Saccharomyces cerevisiae S288C: one gene and its partners. The gene in region 1 interacts genetically with each later gene. Each region holds a gene or a part of one and is shown in the gene's direction. Other genes may lie near its edges.

What was found.
Region 2: mutations in NIP100 (region 1) and KIP3 together harm fitness more than expected from each alone (negative genetic interaction), as found in Saccharomyces cerevisiae (5 studies listed by BioGRID, with this or other methods).
Region 3: mutations in NIP100 (region 1) and CPR6 impair growth when combined (synthetic growth defect), as found in Saccharomyces cerevisiae (4 studies listed by BioGRID, with this or other methods).
Region 4: mutations in NIP100 (region 1) and CAP1 together harm fitness more than expected from each alone (negative genetic interaction), as found in Saccharomyces cerevisiae (5 studies listed by BioGRID, with this or other methods).

Annotation. Positions count from the first base shown.
Region 1 is NC_001148.4:219,261-225,721, reverse strand, and holds NIP100 (Nip100p), read left to right. Parts: upstream 1-2,948; coding exon 2,949-5,555; downstream 5,556-6,461. Other genes in the region: COX10 (protoheme IX farnesyltransferase), read left to right, coding at 1-1,369; mitochondrial 54S ribosomal protein uL24m MRPL40, read right to left, coding at 1,686-2,579; phosphatidylinositol N-acetylglucosaminyltransferase SPT14, read right to left, coding at 5,634-6,461. UniProt on the Saccharomyces cerevisiae protein: Motor-binding component of the dynactin complex which assists cytoplasmic dynein by increasing its processivity and by regulation of its cargo binding.
Region 2 is NC_001139.9:83,182-89,166, forward strand, and holds KIP3 (tubulin-dependent ATPase KIP3), read left to right. Parts: upstream 1-1,703; coding exon 1,704-4,121; downstream 4,122-5,985. Other genes in the region: ERMES complex subunit MDM34, read right to left, coding at 1-1,076; CLG1 (Clg1p), read left to right, coding at 4,800-5,985.
Region 3 is NC_001144.5:570,710-575,632, reverse strand, and holds CPR6 (peptidylprolyl isomerase CPR6), read left to right. Parts: upstream 1-2,421; coding exon 2,422-3,537; downstream 3,538-4,923. Other genes in the region: MSC3 (Msc3p), read right to left, coding at 1-1,482; COA4 (Coa4p), read left to right, coding at 1,715-2,167; cell proliferation protein CDC123, read left to right, coding at 3,775-4,857. UniProt on the Saccharomyces cerevisiae protein: PPIases accelerate the folding of proteins. It catalyzes the cis-trans isomerization of proline imidic peptide bonds in oligopeptides.
Region 4 is NC_001143.9:427,332-431,972, forward strand, and holds CAP1 (Cap1p), read left to right. Parts: upstream 1-1,970; coding exon 1,971-2,777; downstream 2,778-4,641. Other genes in the region: sphingosine N-acyltransferase LAC1, read right to left, coding at 1-1,220; SFT1 (Sft1p), read right to left, coding at 2,867-3,124, 3,266-3,301; 60S ribosomal protein eL14 RPL14A, read left to right, coding at 4,575-4,641. UniProt on the Saccharomyces cerevisiae protein: F-actin-capping proteins bind in a Ca(2+)-independent manner to the fast growing ends of actin filaments (barbed end) thereby blocking the exchange of subunits at these ends.

The DNA of each region.
Region 1 (6,461 bases):
ATATGCTCACTTGATGAGAAATGTTCTTGCTCATAATAAAGGGAATATATACTTACAAATTGGTACACAGCTGCACGATACTCAAATAAAAATTCGATTTAATGGAGTTCGTTATATTAGTCGGAATCATGGCGGGAAACAGCAACATATAAACACTGCGCCGATAGAATTTACTCCCAATTTTGGATATGGTGATAGAACCTCTAATTGCAATAAAAAGGTTGAATCGACTGCCATGAAAACGCTAAGATGCACAGATGATATATCAACTTCAAGTGGAAGCGAAGCTACTACCGATGCAAGCACACAACTTCCATTTAATGTCAAACTTGTAGACCCGATGGTAAGAAAATCTAAGAGACCATCTCACGCAATCAGCGAAGGGCTGAATATGAAAACTTTAAAGAAGAAGGTAATTATGCCATATCTTCAGTTGACCAAGCCCCGACTCACCATTCTAGTGATGTTAAGTGCCATTTGTTCGTATGCTTTATCTCCATATCCAGCCTCCGTCAATGAATTGTTATGTTTAACAGTAGGCACTACTTTGTGTTCCGGTTCTGCAAACGCTATAAATATGGGCAGAGAGCCAGAATTTGATAGACAAATGGTGAGAACTCAGGCGAGGCCCGTTGTTAGAGGTGATGTTACACCTACCCAGGCATTCGAGTTTGCCGCACTTATCGGAACATTAGGAGTATCTATCTTGTACTTTGGTGTTAATCCTACCGTTGCTATTCTTGGTGCTTCAAATATCGCGTTATATGGCTGGGCCTATACGTCTATGAAAAGAAAGCATATCATTAACACATGGTTAGGTGCCCTAGTAGGAATGGTACCTCCTCTAATGGGATGGGCAGCCGCAAGTCCGCTTTCACATCCGGGATCTTGGTGCCTTGCTGGTCTATTGTTTGCTTGGCAATTCCCACACTTTAATACGTTGAGTCATAACATTAGAAATGAATACAAAAATGCCGGATACGTTATGACTGCATGGAAAAATCCGCTCCTAAACGCCCGTGTGTCGTTGAGATACTCTATCCTAATGTTCCCTTTATGTTTCGGATTGTCTTATTTTAATATCACAGATTGGTACTACCAAATAGATTCCGGACTTATAAATGCCTGGCTAACGTTCTGGGCTTTCAAATTCTATTGGCAACAAAGAATCAACTATTCTGCAAAAACATTAAAAGATAACGTCAAGTTTAATAAAGGTCTAAGTGTAGCCAACATTTATGCAAGGAAAACTTTTATGGCTAGTGTATTGCACCTACCGGCAATTCTAATCCTAGCCATTATACATAAAAAAGGCCGCTGGGATTGGATATATCCTGGTGAAGCAAAGCGACCACAGGAACGATTTTAGCATTAGTACAATGAGATAAAGAGACAACGCTTAAAGGGCAGTCATTAATCTTGTAAATAAATATTTAAACCCTTTTATTGGTTAAAAATAATGTACATACGCACATAATTTATTTTTAAAGAAAAGATTTTGTAATTTGAAGTCATCACGTTTGCCCACATCAATATCTGAATATTCTTTGAACTTTACTTTATGCTTTCATATATACAGGTCGAATATAACTTATTTACTACGTGAATAGTGAAGGGGATATACTGATTAAAAAAATCACACTAGAGAATCAAATATAAAAATAGAGTGCATACACTTGGTACATTTATTCTCTTTTTTGTTTTTCCAAAAATTCAAAAACCCTCGCCCCAATAGCTTCCATGTCCTCTTCAGTTAGTTTTGGTACTTCTCTCTCAGCCAACTCCTTTTTTTCTGCCAAATGGCTTTTTCTTACCTCTGTTAGGGGCATCTCAGGTGCTACTAGCTTAGCTATATCTTTCGCTGTCAAGGTACCCCTTTTGTACTTAGAATGAGGATTGCGAATACTTGGTATTGCCTTTTTTGGAATAGGGTTTCTCACTACGGAATCGACCCAAAATGTTTGTTCTCTAGCAATTACAGGATCGGTAGCCAAGTTCGTTTGCACATCAATTGGGTCTGGTTTAGGCCATGGAATGATCAAGTCTGGTTGACCCTTTACGCATCTATATGGCATTACCTTTTTGTAGTCTGCATCATAGTAGGAACCATTGAAGGAAACATCCCTTACTGCCACCGTTCTTGTCTTTCCTGGGGTCTTTTCATCGTCAATATCAGCAACTAGCCTTAAATCCTTTCCCAAAATTGAAACTGGAATTGTTATCATGTGAGATGTTTGGCCTTCAAGCCAGAATTGTTTAGGAACTGGAACAGTCTTTGTGGGCCCATTCTCATCTAATATGAATGAATTTGTTCTTTTATCGAAAGATTTAATTACAGCTATATTTCCTTTGGAAGCCCCGCTCATTACTACTACTCTGTCGCCAGGTATAAACTTCCATTCTTTTTCACTCTTGAAACTAGTTTTCTCATCTACTTCCTTTAAATCTGACTTCATGAACTCAGGCGTAGATTTTTTAATGAACTTTTCACTATGAGGAAGAAAGTTTTTGGGTCGATTCCCCAATCTTTTCATAACACGCGATCCAACGTTTGATAAATGTTGATAGCTTCCAGACATGATGGATTACAAATTTTGTTGCTGATAATGTTCTTTACGGTGGATTACTCTTATCAGGTAATCCTTAAGTAGCTGTTAAAGAGCAGTAGGTACTTTTGAATCTAACATGTCGTTATTTTTCATGTCGCTTTTCAACCGGGTATTTTACAATGCTTAACAAAAAATGCATATATGTTGAAAAGTCACTTATGTAAACGTACAGTTGTAAGGTGCTTTCTTTTTACTCTAACCTCCACACTGAGATTGTTGGCGTAACTGTAGAGAGTTACTCATATGCTGCTAGACTTTATGTTGTACTTTACTTTTGCAAAGTACATAATACTATTCTAGATTCGATCTCCATCAACCTCGCAGTACAGCCTTGGACAAATGCGCAATGCAGGTGTTCAAGTTGACACAAATATGCAGAAGATAAGCTTACAGGACACAGTTCTAGTCAACGAGATGAAGGGGCGGGTGAAATTCATTGGGGAAACTCAATTTGCAAAAGGCATATGGTACGGCATTGAACTAGATAAACCGTTAGGAAAGAATGATGGAAGCGCTAACGGTATTCGTTACTTTGATATCGACCTGAAGAAAGCTAATTCAAATGGTGGTTATTATGGTCTTTTCTGCAAGAAAGATACGTTGCAGTTTTATAAACCAGATGACGATGAGCATAGTTTGCTAAATGGTAATGCAGCGCAAGAAACAATTAAGAATCTACAAGTAAAATGTGAATCATTGGCGTCCAAATTAAATAAAATTAAAATAGAAAATCATGAGCTGAAAACTTCCGTTGAAAAGCTGAGTACTAATGAAACTGTTCTATTGTCTAAAATCTCAAGATTGGATAAACTAGTCAAAGAACTGAAAGTGGAAAATGGTAATATGAAAACTCATTTGGATAATTTCAATCACCTATTAGATGCTTCAGATAGTGTAATGGCACCGGATCTCGACAAAGGCACACTGTTAGAAAGGAGCCATCTTCTTCAGGGACTACTCGACCAAACAAAGTTGTCATATGATAAAGCTATGAAGGTGCAAGAGGACCTGCTCGAGGAGAATACTCAGTTATTAGAAGAAAATGCAGTATTATCTAAAAAAATATCGGATTTAGGTCTGCAATTGCAACAGACTAATAATACAATCGGCGACCTTGCCTTGCAGATTGAAGCTCAAAGTAAATCATCTAATATTGTTGATAAATTGACTAATGATAATATCCTACTCACAAGTAATATAAAGGCTTTAAACAATGAGTTGGAGGAACTACAGGCAAAAGAAAAATTGGATGAAAATTTAAGAATTACCTATGAGCAACTCGAGCAAGAACTGAGACTGCAATTAAGTAATTTGCAATCTGCATTGGAAAATGAAAAGGAGATAGCAGGCACATATATCGAAGAAAATTCAAGATTAAAAGCAACATTGGAATCTATTGAAGCCAAAACATCTCACAAATTTCAAAGTCTTGAACTAAAAGTGAACACTTTACAGGAGGAATTATATCAAAATAAATTGCTAAAGAAATTTTACCAAATATATGAGCCATTTGCACAACCACATTTGGCGGCTCTTTCCTCTCAATTGCAATATTTAGCCGAAGTAATCGAAAGTGAAAATTTTGGAAAGTTGGAGAATATTGAAATCCATATAATTCTAAAAGTGTTGAGCTCTATCAGTTATGCGCTTCATATTTACACCATAAAGAATACTCCCGATCACCTGGAAACGACATTACAATGTTTCAAAGTAAATATTGCTCCGATTTCGATGTGGCTAAGCGAGTTTTTGCAAAGGAAGTTTTCTTCTAAACAGGAAACCGCCTTTTCCATTTGTCAGTTTTTAGAAGATAATAAGTTTCTAGATAAGGATGTGACCTTGATACTAAAAATACTTCATCCGATATTGGAAACAACTGTTCCGAAGCTGTTGGCTTTTCTTAGAACGAACAGCAATTTCAATGACAATGATACCCTATGTCTTATTGGTTCCCTTTACGAGAGATCACTTTCACTTATTGCCAGAATAGATAAACTTATCGGAAAGGAAGAAATTTCGAAACAAGACAATAGGTTATTTTTATATCCTTCCTGTGATATAACCCTGTCCTCTATCTTAACGATACTTTTTTCAGATGCACTGTTTTTGCGACAAGATTACAAACGTATTTCTTCTTTGAAAAAACTAGAGGTATTTTTTCAAGGAATAGAAAGTCTCTTAGAAAACATAACTATATTTCCTGAGCAACCCAGTCAACAAACAAGTGATTCAGAAAGTCAATGTAATATTAAGGAGGGCAATTTTTCAAACTCGTTATTAAGCGATCGCTTGAATGAAGAGAACATTCGACTCAAAGAAGTACTGGTCCAAAAGGAAAATATGCTAACTGAATTGGAAACAAAAATTAAAATTATTATTGGGAGGGATTTAGAGAGGAAAACCCTTGAAGAGAATATCAAAACACTCAAAGTAGAGTTAAATAACAAAAATGAGGAAAATTGTGGCAAAACAGAAATTCTTAACAAGCTGAAAGAAGAAAATTTCAACCTAGTAAACCGTTTGAAGAATATGGAGCTCAAACTATATCAAATAAAGGATAATAATACGTTGAACAAAATTTATTTAGACAGAGAGAAAGTAGATAGAGTAAATTTAGTTTCGGAAATCATGGAATTGAGAGAAACCATAAGACGACAAATAAAAGAGCAGAAACGAGTGAGCATCGATTTCAGCTGGTTAGACGAGCTTCCAGCTGTGGAAAATAAGCAACCATTCAAAGAACATATCAACCACAGTTTGGACACCTTGGGGATAGAAATGTTCAACTTCGTGAGTACCTCACGGATTTTAGATTTAAAGCTTGATCAACCTTTGGCAGAAGATGAACTCTGGCATGAAAGAGATCATTCTTACATTTCGTATTTAAAGCGCAAGAGGAAAAATATACGACTCAAATCTCAAAATGTTGTTACATATTACAAATGACTGAGTGATTCTAGCAGGTCTATAACATTCAAATACAGTAAATAAATGGATACAACATTCCTTTGTTTTGTGTAAAGTTTAAGTTTCTCTTGCTTCCTTCGTCTCGTTAGACACTGTTTTCTTGGGCCATTTTGGAGCTAGATCGATTTCATCCCTGGGGTATAGCCACTCTAAGAGGAAAAAAAGCATGTACTCTACAATTCCACATAACAGATAAAGATGTTTAGCCCAGATTCCATCTCTTTTGTAAAGATTTGCTACCATTTTCATCCAATCTTTATCATCAGCGGAAGAAGTAGAAGATATATTAGTATATATCTCTACTGTCCTTTTGGCTACGTCCATCCAGTCGTACATTTTAGACACGCTATCATGAAAAGAGGAAGTGTCCAAAGCTTTACTTCTTATGATATTGATAGCTTTATTTGTTGCTTGAACAAGGTCAGAAACGGATGTCTGTTCTGCATAAACAGTCATCTCATTTGGTAACACTTCGGGAATTCCTCCGACTTGTGTCGTTACAATTAGCAAATTACAAGATGCGGCCTCAACTAGAATTGTACCAAATGCTTCTGTTAAACTAGCGTGTAAATATATGTCACCTTGACATAATACATCCCTGACTTTCTCATGTGGAACAGAGCCTAAGAGTTGCACACGTTTTTGTAGTCTATGACTTTCAATCATTTGTTGAAAATCTATGAACTTTGGACCATCGCCCGCTACTATAAATTCGACATCTTCATGTGAGGAACAAACTTTCGGAATTATGCGAGTAAGTAAATCGGACCCTTTGTTTGGAAAGAGCCTTCCGATGACCACGATCACTATCTTATCCCTACTTTGTTTTCTCTTGGTGCCACCAGTAGGATCCCTTGGTTTGAAATCTTCGCTCACCACTGCGTT
Region 2 (5,985 bases), on another chromosome or scaffold:
CGGGTCTTTTTGCATTTGATCTTTCTTCTCCTTGGTTTGGCATTGTCGTCGTTGCTGTTACTCCTATCGAAAAGTCGAGACTGAATCTTGGTTATCGTAGCCAAATCGTACTGGCTGGAATCTAACACTGTTTTAGGTAATAGATTGTGGGAACAGTAGAATGGCTTTACCAATTGTTTTGATGATACGGTTGATGACTTTGGTTGTGGAAATGATTGCGAAGAGTAGTAATTGTTTAAAGAGGGCATCCTTGATATAAATCTGTACAAGTTTTGTCTTTCCAAGCAACCAGGTATAGCGGAAAGAGAATTCATCACAGTGGAATGTAGTGACAGTGTTGACCTCGACGACACAATGCTTGAAAGACGTAGCATGTTTATTGGAGAAAGCTCTTGAAAATCTGATCCGTCCAAGATTACATTCCTAGACATTGTAGTTTGTTGATGATGATGCTCTCTTTTACCAGGGATGGTACTGGTGCTCTCGCCGCGATTGGTGAACCAGTTCTGTGACGTGTTGAAGATCAAAGAAGGAAGAACATCCTTGAACACTACATGCATGGACTCTTTTAGCCTTCTCTCAATGGTGCTTTGGAGAATTTTTACAGAACAATCAAACTTAAAATCCAAATCAACGTCATTAAAGGATATCCCAATTCCAGGGTTCTTTACAAAAATATTCGTGATGGCTTCTAGCTCGATGGAACTGAACGTCATAGTTATAGGAATTGTGAACGATCCATTATTGATGAGCTGGGGCATGGTAAAGCTGGGTGTATCCTGTTCGTTAATCAATAAAAGATTCGACTCTATGACTGTCTGTATCCGCAACATAGCATCCTTACATGAAATCTTGCAAATCCCCTTGGCCAGAGACTTGGGCTGCGTGATAATGTCTAGGTCCAGAATTTCTAGCTGTGGTATTGTAGGAAAATCCACCTTCTGTACCTTAATTCCGCTTTTCAAGATATCTAATTTCTTTTTAGACGGTGAGTTCAAAGCCGTAGATAACTTTTCCCGTATTCGTTCATTGAAAGAGTTATCACCAAACACAGCTTCGTTGAATCTAAATGACATGACGATGCTGAAGTTTCTTGCAGTTGTGTTTTTTTTGTTATAATTGTTACTGTTTCTATGTTTTACGAATCTTCCATGACTCTTCTAATTGGTCTCTTTTTACTACAAGGCTTCATGGCCCTTTTTCAAACCTAATTTATAAGTTCTTTGCCCTATGCTTAAAACAGTTTAGCCCTATTTAATATAGTACAAAAAAGGAAAAACCTAATTGAAAAAAGCTATTCACCCTAGGTCATTACTACTTTTTCCCTTAGCTAGCCGTGTTTTTAGTTTTTGTTTTGTTTATTTTACCTGTATTATGCCTTGTTTGATGACTTTAGTATGGGTTTGGTTTGTCTTATCCTTGGATACAAAAGGACCAGATACATTCACGTCTGGTCGGTAGAACATCGGTATCCAGTATAGTGTTCAGCTGTTCCTATAGAGACAAAATTTATAATCTGCGTGTAACAAATATCTGCAGGTTAAAAAAGTCCAGATCAGTGTTTCGAAGCTGTTGATTTTTCTTTTTTTTTTTTTATATTAAAATTTTCATATTCCCTGATTGCATCGTTTATCTGATTATCATTTCATTGCATTCTTTAACTACTTGAGTTTTCTTTCCAGCTGTATACTATTGACACTAACATGAACGTGCCTGAAACAAGACAATCCTCCATAGTCGTAGCTATAAGAGTAAGGCCCTTTACGTCAATGGAAAAAACAAGATTGGTCAATGAAGCTAGTGGTGCAGAAGCTAACTTTCCCGGTTTGGGGGATTCGTCGTTAATATTACCCATGAGTAATAACTCCGACTCCGATATAGACATAGACGCTGAAGAAGGTTCTACGCGGAGCAAAAGAAATAGCTTGCTGAGGAGAAAAGTAATTAGACCGGAGGGTATACGTAAAATTGTGGATTGTGTGGATGATAGAATGCTCATATTCGACCCAGCTGATAGAAACCCATTGAACAAAGTGAGTGATCAGGTCCTGAACTCGATGCGTGCAAGGGCCACTAAGGCCACTGCGTCCTCTATCAATAACAGCAATGCTACGAACAAATTTTCTTCGCAACGTCGAAGGCACGGTGGCGAAATCAAGTTTGTATTTGATAAATTGTTTGATGAAACCTCTTCCCAAGCCCGTGTATACAAAGAGACCACCAGCCCGCTCCTAGATTCTGTTTTAGATGGATTCAACAGTACCGTATTTGCTTACGGTGCTACTGGTTGTGGCAAGACATATACTGTGAGTGGCACACCTTCACAGCCGGGGATCATATTTCTAGCCATGGAGGAACTATTCAATAAAATTACAGACCTGAAGGACGAAAAAGACTTCGAGATTTCACTGTCTTACTTGGAAATATACAATGAAAGAATCAGAGACCTTTTGAAACCAGAGACACCATCTAAAAGATTGGTCATTAGAGAAGATACGCAGAACCACATCAAAGTGGCGAATTTGTCGTATCACCACCCAAATACGGTAGAAGATGTGATGGACTTAGTTGTCCAGGGAAACATAAACAGGACTACGTCACCGACGGAAGCAAACGAAGTATCTTCACGATCTCATGCAGTGCTGCAAATACACATCATGCAGACAAATAAGCTTGTAGACTTGACCTCGCAACATACATTTGCTACACTTTCAATAATCGATCTAGCTGGGAGCGAAAGAGCCGCCGCAACAAGAAACCGTGGTATAAGATTACACGAAGGTGCGAATATAAATAGATCCCTACTAGCACTGGGCAATTGCATTAACGCGTTGTGCTTGAATGATGGCAGCAGAAGCTGTCATATTCCATACAGGGATTCCAAGTTAACTAGGCTGTTGAAATTTTCACTGGGTGGCAATTGCAAAACAGTCATGATTGTTTGCATATCGCCCAGCAGTTCACATTATGATGAGACATTGAATACTTTGAAATATGCAAATCGTGCTAAAGAAATAAAGACCAAAATAATCAGAAATCAGCAGTCTTTGAGTAGACACGTTGGATCTTATTTGAAAATGATTACGGAACAAAAGCGACAAATCGAAGAGTTACGCGAACGTGAAGAGAAGATGATTTCTTTGAAGCTAACGAAATACAAACTAAACAAAGAAAAGATCCAGTTAGCCATTAACGAGTGCGTCAATCGTGTTCAGCAAACGTATGCAGGAGTGGAAACGTATCAAGTAGCCAAGACCTTGAAATCATTAATACTTTGTAAAAGGCGGTTTTTGCAAATGGTCAAGCTAGAAGTGGATAATTTGATACTATTATTTGAACGGGAGGAAAGTACAGCCGCCGAGATGCAGCCGGTGATTAGTAATTGCCGAATGATCAGTGGTCAGCTTTATAACAAAATACACGAGTTAGAAATGAAATTTGATGAAACCGACACTCTGAGTTCCGTCATTCATCAGGTACATTCCATTGACTTGAACAAGTTAAGAGAGATGGAGGACTGGGATGAAACTTACGACCTGGTGTACTTGGAGTCGTGTTTAAATCAAATATCAGAATTACAAAGAAACGAAATCTTGGTTAATTCCTCCATAATGACAGAAAAATTAATGTCAGATCCGGGTTTGAACTCCCGATTTAAATTTCTATCAAAGTGGCTGATGAATAGGACACCTAACATTGAATCCATAATTCAAGACCTGGTTCATATCGACGAGGAGTTTGAATCTTTTGCCAGAACTTTTATCGCCAATCCCGATAGCAATTTTACAAACACAAATATAAATATAATAAACACGACGGCAGCTGACTTGGCTGTTCCCGCTGAGACCCTACAACGGCAAAATTTTTCCCAAAAAAAAGTAAAGTGGACGAGTCCCGACCTTAGTCCCAGCCCTATGATTGAACCACAACCGGAGCTAGAACCAGAACTACACCAAGATCAAGACGCCATTGCAAGTGAAGTGGACGTAAGTATGCAAGATACCACATTCAATGAGCAGGGGCCCTCGACCCCCTCCGCTCCGACTACAGCGGTTCCAAGAAGGAAGATGCGCTCCTCCCTTCTTACTCATCAAAGTCTACTGGCCACTGCCAGGAAATAACATACATATCCTACGTAAACTATCGAATATAACTTCTTTCCGCCAGCATTAAACGCATTTATGTTGATTAATTCCGGGTTACGGGAAAAATTTTTCTTTAATTTCTTTTTTTTGAATTTATTTGGCACGAGAAAAGGTTCAAAGTGAATAATTGCTTTTAGTCATTAGACACATTACCTACTTTCTAAGAGATTCTAAAAGAAACTAAGCACCACAAATCATTGATCTTTTAAGAAAAACGCACAAGGATCATATACTAGATTCTCGTTCTCGTTTTTTCTTCCTTTTTTTTTTCTCTAAAGCCTTTTACTGGGTTAATTTCCTTTATTGACCCAAATTAAAAGAAAACGTTTCTCAGGAGACTCTTTTAAGCAAAATTTAGCAAATTTGTGTTTGCTGTTGTTTTTACAGAGACTGCATTACTTGAAGGTTTGCCTTTAAGTCTTCGAGTCGTTTTTTTTTATTAACTTTAATCCTTTTTCTGTGTGTTTGTGTATATTCAGTGGGGTTATTTTACAGTATTCGAAGAGACTTCGTTTCACACATTTAAACCAGCTTTATTAGCGTTTAGCTTATACACTACAAGGAATTTTTTTTTTCTTTAACATTATTAAGACAGTTATTGAGTTAATTCGTCTTCAGCCCCCCTCCCCCCAACAAACCCCCCTTCATATAGAAATGGCTAATACTTTCAAGTATTATCCTGAAACGATGGGTAATTCTAGTGGTTATCCAATTAGTTTGCCTTTTCCGAAAGGTTCGGCTACTTCTGCTGTTAATGTTGCTAGGCAACTGCCTAAATATTTAGGTCATGTTCCCTCGCAATCAGTTCATACTCAGTTGCCATCCATGGCTTCTTTAGGTTACTTCAATCAGCCAAGTTCTACTTACTATGCTCCTCCTGCACCACTTCAACAGCACCAGCAACCACCTATCCTTCCCCCTCCGGGCCTAATGTACACTAGTAACAATAACAGCAACGTTATTCCTCCTCCTGTTCAAATGATTCGGGATGGACAACAACAACCACAACAATCTAACCAAGTAAATGGGGGCGTCAGTGAGAACTTGGACTACGATATTTCTATAATGTCAAAATTTATCATGGAAAATGCCTTTGTTGCCTTCAACGCGAACTATAGTACTGATGACCAGACCACTGATCTTTTTTTCAAGGGCATATCTTCTGTGTTGAATGCCACGAGATTGCCTTCAGCTACTATTTTTTTGGCTATAGATTATCTTTTCAAGTATATCAATAAATTATCTAATGGGATACATTCAATTGGTGGCAATTCGATCAATATCATTTATCAAAATACTATGATTGCGTTCATATTAGCAAACAAGTTCAACGATGACAAAACTTTCACCAATAACTCATGGTCACAGGCAACAGGAATACTGATAAATGTTATCAATGATTTCGAGAGACAATGGTTGAGAATATTTAACTGGGAATTGTATGATAGTGCTTTTCTTTATTTTGAGTTCGTCAAGAATTTTGAGATTTTCAAGCAAAATCAACTCAAACCTGCTGTAGCGGTTCCTACGTTATTATCTCCAATTGTCAACGTTGGTGATACGAGAAACGTAAATTTCAACTTGAAGCCTACTTCCACAAACAACCTATTATCTCCAGTTTCCAATTATGAAACCCCCATGCTGATGCCGCATAACATGTTTTCATCACCATCTTATCAGAGTAACTCAAGGTCTGAATTTTCTAGTATGAATGGTTATTATAACTATTACAACTATAATCAGCCAAGATTGAATTACTATCAACAATTCCCCAATATATATTCTTCACCAATTTCGGAAACTCAGTTTGATTACGACTTCTACAATTTCAGTAGTCAAC
Region 3 (4,923 bases), on another chromosome or scaffold:
CTGACGAGGTTTAGCCGCCGTAGTGCTATTATCGACTGCTTCAGGTTGAATACCATGTGAGTTGTAATACCTCGCTTGTGCGATTTTCAAAGCTTGGTCATACATTTCTTTATCTGTTAGCCCTGTGTTTGCACTTTTAGGCTCTGGAACTGGGTCAACAGCCTTATTCGATTTAAAATGTGTAGACACAGAGTGATTGTGCACTTCATGGGGGGCGCTTTTAGTATTTCTGCTGAAGAAGGAACTTGTAAATCTTTTTGGTTGAACCTCGACATTAGATTTGACAAGATTAGCAGTCGCCGTCGGAGAATCACTACTGCTTCTCAAGGTCATTTTTTGACCCATCCTACTTTTCCTGGATTTGTTACTCCCGAGGGGGGCCGATGCGTTATCCGAAGCAGCATCCGTGTGATAAACGTTTCTTTTAGCAACCTCTAGTGCCTTCAGATACATTTCTGCTTCGGTTAATGGTTTCTTGGCCTCTGCTTCTGCGTTTTTCACGGCAGGCGGTCTTTTCTTCCTTCTTGTCGTCGATGCTTGCTTCCTTTTATTATGAATATATTTACTACTGGTCTGATGGGTGGGAGGAATATAATCTAATGCGTCACTGAAGTTTGATAAACTACTTTCTTCTTCTAGAGGCATAACGTCTGTAGAATACTTATGGTGGAAATATGATCCAAGTGGGAAATCTGGTTTTTCCACGTTTAGCTCTGAATCATCTTGTAAATGACTTTCGCTTACTGGGGAATATGGCTTTTCGTTATCTGTTTCGTTTTCCTCGATTATATCGTGAATGTTATCACTAGCTTGTTCCTCTAAAATGTCGTCATCTTGCAACATGTAATTTTCACTAAATTCATCGAAATGACGCTGCGAGTCACCTAATGGAACCAAATTCTTAGTCGTAGTCGTGGTTTCTACGTATTCATACCCATTTATTTTTCTTATTGTCTTTTTGGTAATTGATTGAGTCCTTCCTGAAGGGTCTGTTACTTGTGTAGTCTTTACGGTAATGGAGTTGGCCCTTGAATCGTTATTGTTGCCGGCCGTCGATTTGTTCTTACCGTAGTTTCTTCTGACATTCGCACCAGACGTCATAGAATTCATACGGCTCCCATTAGTAGTATAACCGGGCGGGTGTAAATGGTACTCTCCGCTCCTTTGCGACCTCAACGAGTAAGTCTTCTGTGAATACTGCTTAGCTGCTGCCCTGGACGTTGGCGGAGCGGCAGAGGATGTGGAAAGCCTTCTTCCTGGGCTCTTTACCGAACTTCTTTGTCTCGGTATTGAAGGTGCATGACTAACCAGCGAGTGCGACCTTGAGTAATTGGTTCGATCCGGTGATGCGGCAGAAGCAGCAGAGGCAGCAGCAGCAGAGAGCTGAGGACTTTTGTTATAATCTTCATGGTTCTGATAGTAGTAATCATACCTAGATAAATCAGGTACCCTCCTGTCCCTCTTTGTAAAACCAAATACCATTTTCAACTTTCTTGATCAACAGAATGTCTTTGTTTGTTTATTCTAGTGAAAAAATAGAAGTAAAAAGCAATCAATATAAGCAACGTGAAACGATCGAAGGAAACTAAAAGAGGTTTGATGTTAGAAGAATTGATTAACACCAAATCAAGCAATTTATTGAAGTATGGGTCCCTGATGTTTGTCCTTCTCGTTCTTGCTTTCCCTCCCCTCTTCTCATCCATTCGCTTCATTTATGCTTTTATTTTCTTCTTTTTTTTCTCACAACAAATGTCCGAAACAAAAAAAGGGGCCTCAGCCATTAAAGGTAGTGAAAGGCACTTCTAAGAGTTGCGCCAAACAAGGGAAGATTAAAGGGAAAGAAAAGCTCTGGCAGGCTAAAACTGGCAGACTGGTCATGAGTGAAACTGGCGAAACTTCAGAGTATTATAAGCAGGCGCTGGAAGAATACAAAGAGGTCCAAGAAGACGAAGACCCGGATGTGTGGGACACGAGAATATCCAAGACCGGATGCTACGTAGAGAACCTCGCATTACAGCTGTGCCATGCCGAAACAGGTGACTGGAGGCAGTGCTTCAACGAGATGGCGTTATTTAGGAAGTGTTGGGAAAAGAATGGTAATAGAGAGCGCGTAAGCACAGTGGACGTGGATGGGACGACCAGTAAGGATTCGGAAAAGAAGAAATGAAAATCTAAATGTCGTGATGTATAACTTGTATATAATAGACAGCTGCAGTGATCGAAACACATTGTTTCCCTTTATAGAACATAACTGTTACGCTTTTGAACGGCATTTCTATGAGCTTCTAGAATATTTTTCCGCCCTAGCTGGAGAAAGTTCAGACAGAAAATTATTTAAATAAGTCGAATATCAGAGGTGCTGATGCGCTCACATCACATAGAAAACTGGTAAGACAATATTCAGGCGATCAAGGAGTAAAAATGACTAGACCTAAAACTTTTTTTGATATTTCTATTGGAGGTAAACCCCAAGGCCGTATAGTTTTTGAGTTGTACAATGACATAGTGCCTAAAACGGCTGAAAATTTTTTGAAGTTGTGTGAAGGAAATGCTGGTATGGCAAAGACTAAACCTGATGTACCATTGTCGTACAAGGGTTCCATTTTCCACAGAGTGATCAAAGACTTCATGTGTCAATTTGGTGATTTTACCAATTTTAATGGTACTGGCGGTGAGAGCATATACGATGAAAAATTCGAGGATGAAAATTTCACTGTTAAACATGATAAACCATTCCTTCTATCCATGGCCAACGCCGGTCCAAATACCAATGGATCTCAAGCTTTCATAACCTGTGTTCCTACACCTCATTTGGACGGGAAGCACGTTGTGTTTGGTGAAGTGATTCAAGGTAAAAGAATTGTTCGTTTGATTGAAAACCAACAATGTGACCAAGAAAACAACAAGCCATTGCGTGATGTAAAGATTGATGACTGTGGCGTGTTACCTGACGATTATCAAGTGCCAGAGAATGCCGAAGCTACACCAACAGATGAGTACGGCGATAATTATGAAGATGTTTTAAAACAAGACGAAAAAGTTGACTTGAAGAATTTCGACACCGTCTTGAAAGCTATCGAAACGGTAAAGAACATTGGTACTGAACAGTTCAAGAAACAGAACTATTCCGTGGCTTTAGAAAAATATGTCAAATGTGATAAATTCTTGAAAGAGTATTTCCCAGAAGATTTGGAGAAGGAACAAATTGAAAAAATCAATCAATTGAAAGTGTCTATTCCATTGAATATTGCCATCTGTGCTCTTAAATTAAAAGATTACAAGCAAGTATTAGTAGCCTCATCGGAGGTGTTATATGCCGAAGCGGCTGACGAAAAAGCCAAGGCCAAAGCTTTGTACCGTCGTGGCCTGGCCTATTACCATGTTAATGACACAGATATGGCTCTCAATGACCTAGAAATGGCCACTACTTTCCAGCCAAATGACGCTGCCATTTTGAAAGCTATTCATAATACTAAATTAAAAAGAAAGCAACAAAACGAAAAAGCTAAAAAGTCTCTTTCGAAGATGTTCTCCTGATTACTTGCATTATATATATGCTTATATGTTTAAATACTAAACAGTTGCGCTGCCTCAGTAGTTAAGTAAAAAGTACGTAGAAAACTCTGTTAAAAAAATTATTTTTTCAGGCATAATAAGCGGATATTTTCCGATGTCCATTTATGCAGTGGGAAGATTAAGAAGCTAATGATACCGTAACTCCACCAGTGAAACTAAAACGTGCGTCCAAAAAGCGCTGACATAAATTACTTATTGATGTCCTCACAAGAATATACAACTTTTATAGATATACCAGTGACAAGAGCGCAGGTTGAACACTGTTCTTACTCGTTTTGGTCCTCACTGTATCCCAAATATGTGCCAAAATCCATAGTGTTAAAATCCTTACCGAAAAAATTTATTCAATATTTGGAACAAGACGGTATCAAGCTACCCCAAGAGGAAAACTCCAGGTCTGTGTACACCGAGGAAATAATAAGAAATGAAGATAATGACTATAGTGATTGGGAGGACGATGAGGATACCGCCACCGAATTTGTCCAAGAAGTTGAGCCATTGATAGATTTTCCAGAATTACACCAGAAATTAAAGGATGCTTTGAACGAATTAGGTGCAGTGGCTCCCAAGTTAAACTGGTCTGCACCAAGAGACGCTACCTGGATTTTGCCGAATAACACTATGAAGTGTAACGAGGTAAATGAGCTTTACCTATTGTTGAACGCATCCAATTACATAATGCATGACCTTCAAAGAGCATTTAAAGGCTGCGTGGACGGGGATGATATAAAAGGATTGAAATTTGACTTGGTACTTAGACAATGGTGTGATATGAATCCGGCACTCGAATTTAGGGTCTTCGTTAAGAATGCGCATATCGTTGGGGCCACCCAGCGTGATTTAAATTATTATGACTATTTAGATGAGTTGTCAGATACCTTCAAGGACCTTATTGATGAAATAGTTCATGATGTCGTCCTGCCCAAGTTTCCTGATAAAAGTTTCGTTCTTGACGTTTATATTCCAAGACCTTTCAATAAAATCTTCATTGTTGATATAAATCCGTTTGCCAGGAAGACAGATTCTTTGCTATTTTCATGGAACGAGATTGCTGCGATAGCACCTCCGAAGAATGATGTTGAAGATTATGAATTAAGGTTAGTGACGAGGCATAACACGGGGAGATTCGCTTCAAAAGAGCACTCCGAAAATCATGTTCCACAGGATCTCGTAGAAGCTAGTTTAAATCCTGAAGCAATCCGAGAGCTCACTCAAAAATGGAAAGAACTACTCTCTCAACAGGCAAAGGAAGAAAGCAGTGATAGTGAGAATGAAACTTAGATTTAGAACCCGCATTTGAATATATTCGTCTTTTTATTACCCTGTTGTATGATTATATAAAATTAT
Region 4 (4,641 bases), on another chromosome or scaffold:
GTAGTGGAACTTTCATCACTTTCTTCGTCTGATTCACTATCACTTCTGTCATCCTTGAGAATACCTCTCCATAGAATCCTGTAAAGAACTCTAAAAATAAGGAACAGCCAATAAAGATTCACTAATTGCAAAGCGCCTATCAATACAAAGACAATTGGTAAGGAAATCCAACATTTATATTGCTGAGTGGCAAAATTCAAGACATAGTTACCTTCCGTGCGAAATTGCGTTAAAACGGACCATAGGATCTTTAAATTTATGTAATGACGCAAATAAATCCACGCAACAACAAAGATAGCAAAAGAAAAAAAAGCCAATCCAGAGTCCAAATAATTTAGAGTTTTGGAGAATGACAAAAGAAAATCAGAAACATCCATTGTGATATAGATTGGCAGTCCCATTTTAGTGAAATGAAATACGTAGGAAGACCAAATCAATAGTAAAGTAACAATATGATGGAAAGTCAACTCGTTATGATCTTTTCTTGGCTTTTCTAGTTGCAATACAAGAATGCAGGCTTGTTGAGCCCAAAATGCAGCTTGACCCAAATAGAATACCTTGAATAAGAAGGGATTAGTGAAATCTGGATATGTTCTGTACATTGCCTTTGTGTTGAAAAACCATAAATCCGAATGGTACATACAATATATCCCGAAAGGACCGGAAACACCGGTGTAGAAAATAGCGTACATTTGTTCCATGATTCTTTTTATTCTGTGCTTAGAAGTGACGTGTAACCTAATAGCGAACGGTCTAATGACAACATCCATTAGGAATTCACGTAAGAATGTGAAAAAAATCATATAGTAAAATACAAAGCACAAATCGTTAATACCTTTACCATATGCGTTGGTATCACCTATTTGGTATGACACAGCGACAAATCTATGTAACACATTTGTCTTTGTAGTGTTACCAGAAGTGAAATAGGCACTATATACCGCGATTAAAATCATCAAGGGAGCTATCCAGGCATGACGGTAACTTATCTCTCGGAATGAAAACCAGATTTTCTTGACCAGGTCGCTATCATTTTTGGTGGCTTCAGATAATCTCTGCATACGCCTTTTAGCAGCCGTTTTAGATTCTTTTGTCTCGAACATAGTACCTAAACTAGGTACAGTGTCCCCGAGGTCGATCTTACCTATGGAAGACTTGCGTCTTGGTCTTGACCTCACTTTCAAATTGTTGTTTGAAGGGCTTGGCTTTATTGTCGACATAGCTCTTGTTTATTGATACTGTGTCTATCTAAATGTTTACCGGAGGTATGAATAATAAAAACAATAGCGATCAACCGACAAAAATATCTGTATGGAACAGAAAAACGGTAACGAACAAGAAACTGTAGTTTTAACTTAAATCAGGTCCGGATTATAAAGCCGATGTAGCAGAAAAACGGGTTCACGGAATACAATAGCCAAATAACAATAAATAAATAAATAAATAAATAAGAAAAAAAAAAAGCAAGTAAATAAAACAAAACGGGATGCAACAAGCCAAGGAGGGAAACAATAGAAAAATAACTTAAAAATCTTTGTCTAGATTCCAATACTTTCTCCCTCCTCCCACGTTATTTGTCTAGCATGATCAGGTACAATGCCCACCGATATGAGAAAAAAGAGTGAAAAAAAAAAAATGACGAAAATGGTTCCGCGGATCTAGCAACTTTGTTGGAATGACCGGAAAAGACAGTTGTTTCCTTTCCAACTATTTTTCATTCCTGGTCTTTTTCCTGTTGAAGCCCAGCATTTTTTTTTTCGCGTCGCGTTTTTTCACAACAGTTCGGATCACGTGATAATCACTGCACGTGACTATCATGTGATACGATAGCCGGGTTATGATCCCCTTTTTCTTCCTATTGGAATACTGATTTTACAGTGGCTAGTACTGGATTTGAGTATAGGAAGGTGTTAGCAACTGTAAGGTACTATTCAGACCGTTAATCCAACGGATCATAAGAGCGACAGAAAATGTCTAGTAGTAAATTCGAAGAGGTCATCAACAAGATCATCAATGACAGCCCTCCAGGAGAATTAAGGGAAGTATACGACGATCTAATCAAGATCACAAGTGAAAACTCCAAAAATACTATTTTGGATGCTATTGAGAATTACAACGTGCAGAATTGCATCCCTATAGAAGTCAACGGGAACTCTGTAATTATTTCCAAATACAACAAGGAAGGAGCAAAGTTTTTTGATCCCGTAAATTCCGTAATATTTTCAGTTAACCATTTAGAGCGCAAGGGCCTTGACATTGAACCATATGAGTTCACGCATGCAAAGATAGAGAAAGGGCAATTGAAAGAACTGCACGATAAATTGCACGAATATCTTCTTCAGAGCTTTCCAGGTGATGTCAGTTTTGCTGTTTACCCAGTCCCTGAGGAAATAAGTAAAATTTCTATTATTATTGTTAGCACCAAATATAATCCAAACAATTTCTGGAACGGCCATTGGAGATCAAGCTACATCTACGATTTGGAGACCAGGGAGTTATCCGGTCAAATCTCTACGCAAGTCCACTATTACGAAGACGGTAACGTTAGTTTCCAATCTGGGAAGGATATCAATCAATCTAACGTTGATGACGTTGTTTGCACAATAAGGGATATTGAGACGAATTTCGAAAATGATCTAGATCTTTCATTTTTCGACTTGAACGAAAAACAGTTTAAGGCCTTAAGAAGAAGATTACCAGTCACGAGATCCAAAATTAACTGGGGTAGTGCGATTGGCAGTTATAGATTGGGTAAGAATGCGGCAGAAGGCAAATGAAATTTCATGCCTGCCTTATTCCATTCTCTTCCTATTTCTTAAATTGAATACATCTATGTACATTATTTATTTTTGGCTTGATTGGCTCACTAAAATAACTTAAACAGGGTATATAGAATGAAGAATATTAATAACGCCAAACCCACCATTCTCCATATGCTATTACCAGCCTTTAATGATCGGGTTAACCTTGAGGACGAATTTTTGATATCGGTAAACATCGATCCCAATGAATCTGTCATTTGGTTTATGACAGAACTGTCAGAGACCGCTCGGTCTCCAATCTCTTGGTTTATGTTTCTGAATGTAGCTAATTTATTGGCTAACCCCTCTAGTTTCCTATCATTCTGTTTAAAGTACATGTACATGAAGGGATGATACATCTGCTCATCCGGTGTACAGAAGCAATAGTTAGTAGCTTATAACATCCATATAGCAAGCTAGGTCCCATTCTAAACACCTATGCGTGTTGCCGGTGATTTACATACGTTTGATTCGGTCTGAGAATACCTAGAATTTGACATCGCTATGATGATTATATATTACCTTTCTACCGTTCTCTCCTTGTTGAGTTCTTCCAGTATCCTTCTTAATGATATACCTTATATTATTTCCTCTTTTTTTTTCTGCATGTAGCAATGCGCGGCTTCTTGCAATAACAAGAAAACTAGAGTAGCTAATTTACTGCATGAACCGTACATTCAGCAACAAGAAACATAAGATACTTACCGCACAATATTCATTGGTCAGTTACCGTACACACGAAGATCCTTTCTGAGTAGCGTAGTTTAAGGGAGCACACATTTTTAAATTCTAAACATTGCCTCAAGATGTTCTCCCATATACAAGGAAGGAATATTGAGCAACATGGTTAATCTGCCAGTTGCAACAACGCAAGTGTTATTAGAAATATTGTTCAAGGAAAATATCAGATAAAAAATTTTTCGCACTTCGCTAATCACCCATATAGAACATGGCGGTGTTCCAAGTGATTAGCCCTAGATCGCAAATTATATCATCATTCAGTTACCTTTCTCATTGAATCTTCTTGATAAGAACTACTGGTACCTCAAATAGGAACGAAATATGATACCACTGTATCATACTATCATTCTCAACACATTTGTTATATATTTTATGTTTCTACTGAACCTTTTGTCAGTCATCTCACTAGCAGCTGCGATTAACAGTCATCGGATATTTAAAATTGAAGCTTTTAAAATTGAAGCTTTTAAAATCAAACATGAATACACATTGGAGTTCACTGAAGAAATTAGGTTTAAATAAAAAAATCCAGCATTAGTTGTGAAGTAAAAAAAGACAAAACCAGCAAATTCTTGCCAGAATGTAACTATACTCTGAGTAAAATAATTGACAGCGCAAATACACCCATACACTATTTTTACATCTTGACATCACATACATAATATGTGTGAAATATCAAATTTTGAGTGTCCGTTATCAATTTTTTTTCGATTTTGCATTTTATGAAGCTTCAAACAGGTGTCGGCCTAACTTTCCGCCCGGAAAAGAGCGGTTTACGAGAGATTGCTGCTTGCAGCTGCGTGCATTTTTCCATAATCGGGTTTCCCTTCAGCGCGCAGTGTTTCCATTCTCAGCCCAATTGGCAACGGAGAGAGCGTAGAGCTTTCAGTGGACTGCCCTTCGTACTCGTCGAGTACTATTGAACTGAAAAAAAAGTAATCTAAGGTTAAGTTGATCAGGTCTGCCGATTGTATAACAAATTTAATTGTTTGTCTTAGTGAACAAAGAGAGTCGTGAAAAATAAAATAAACAATGTCCACCGATTCTATTGTCAAGGCTTCTAACTGGAGATTAGTCGAAGTTGGCCGTGTGGTTTTGA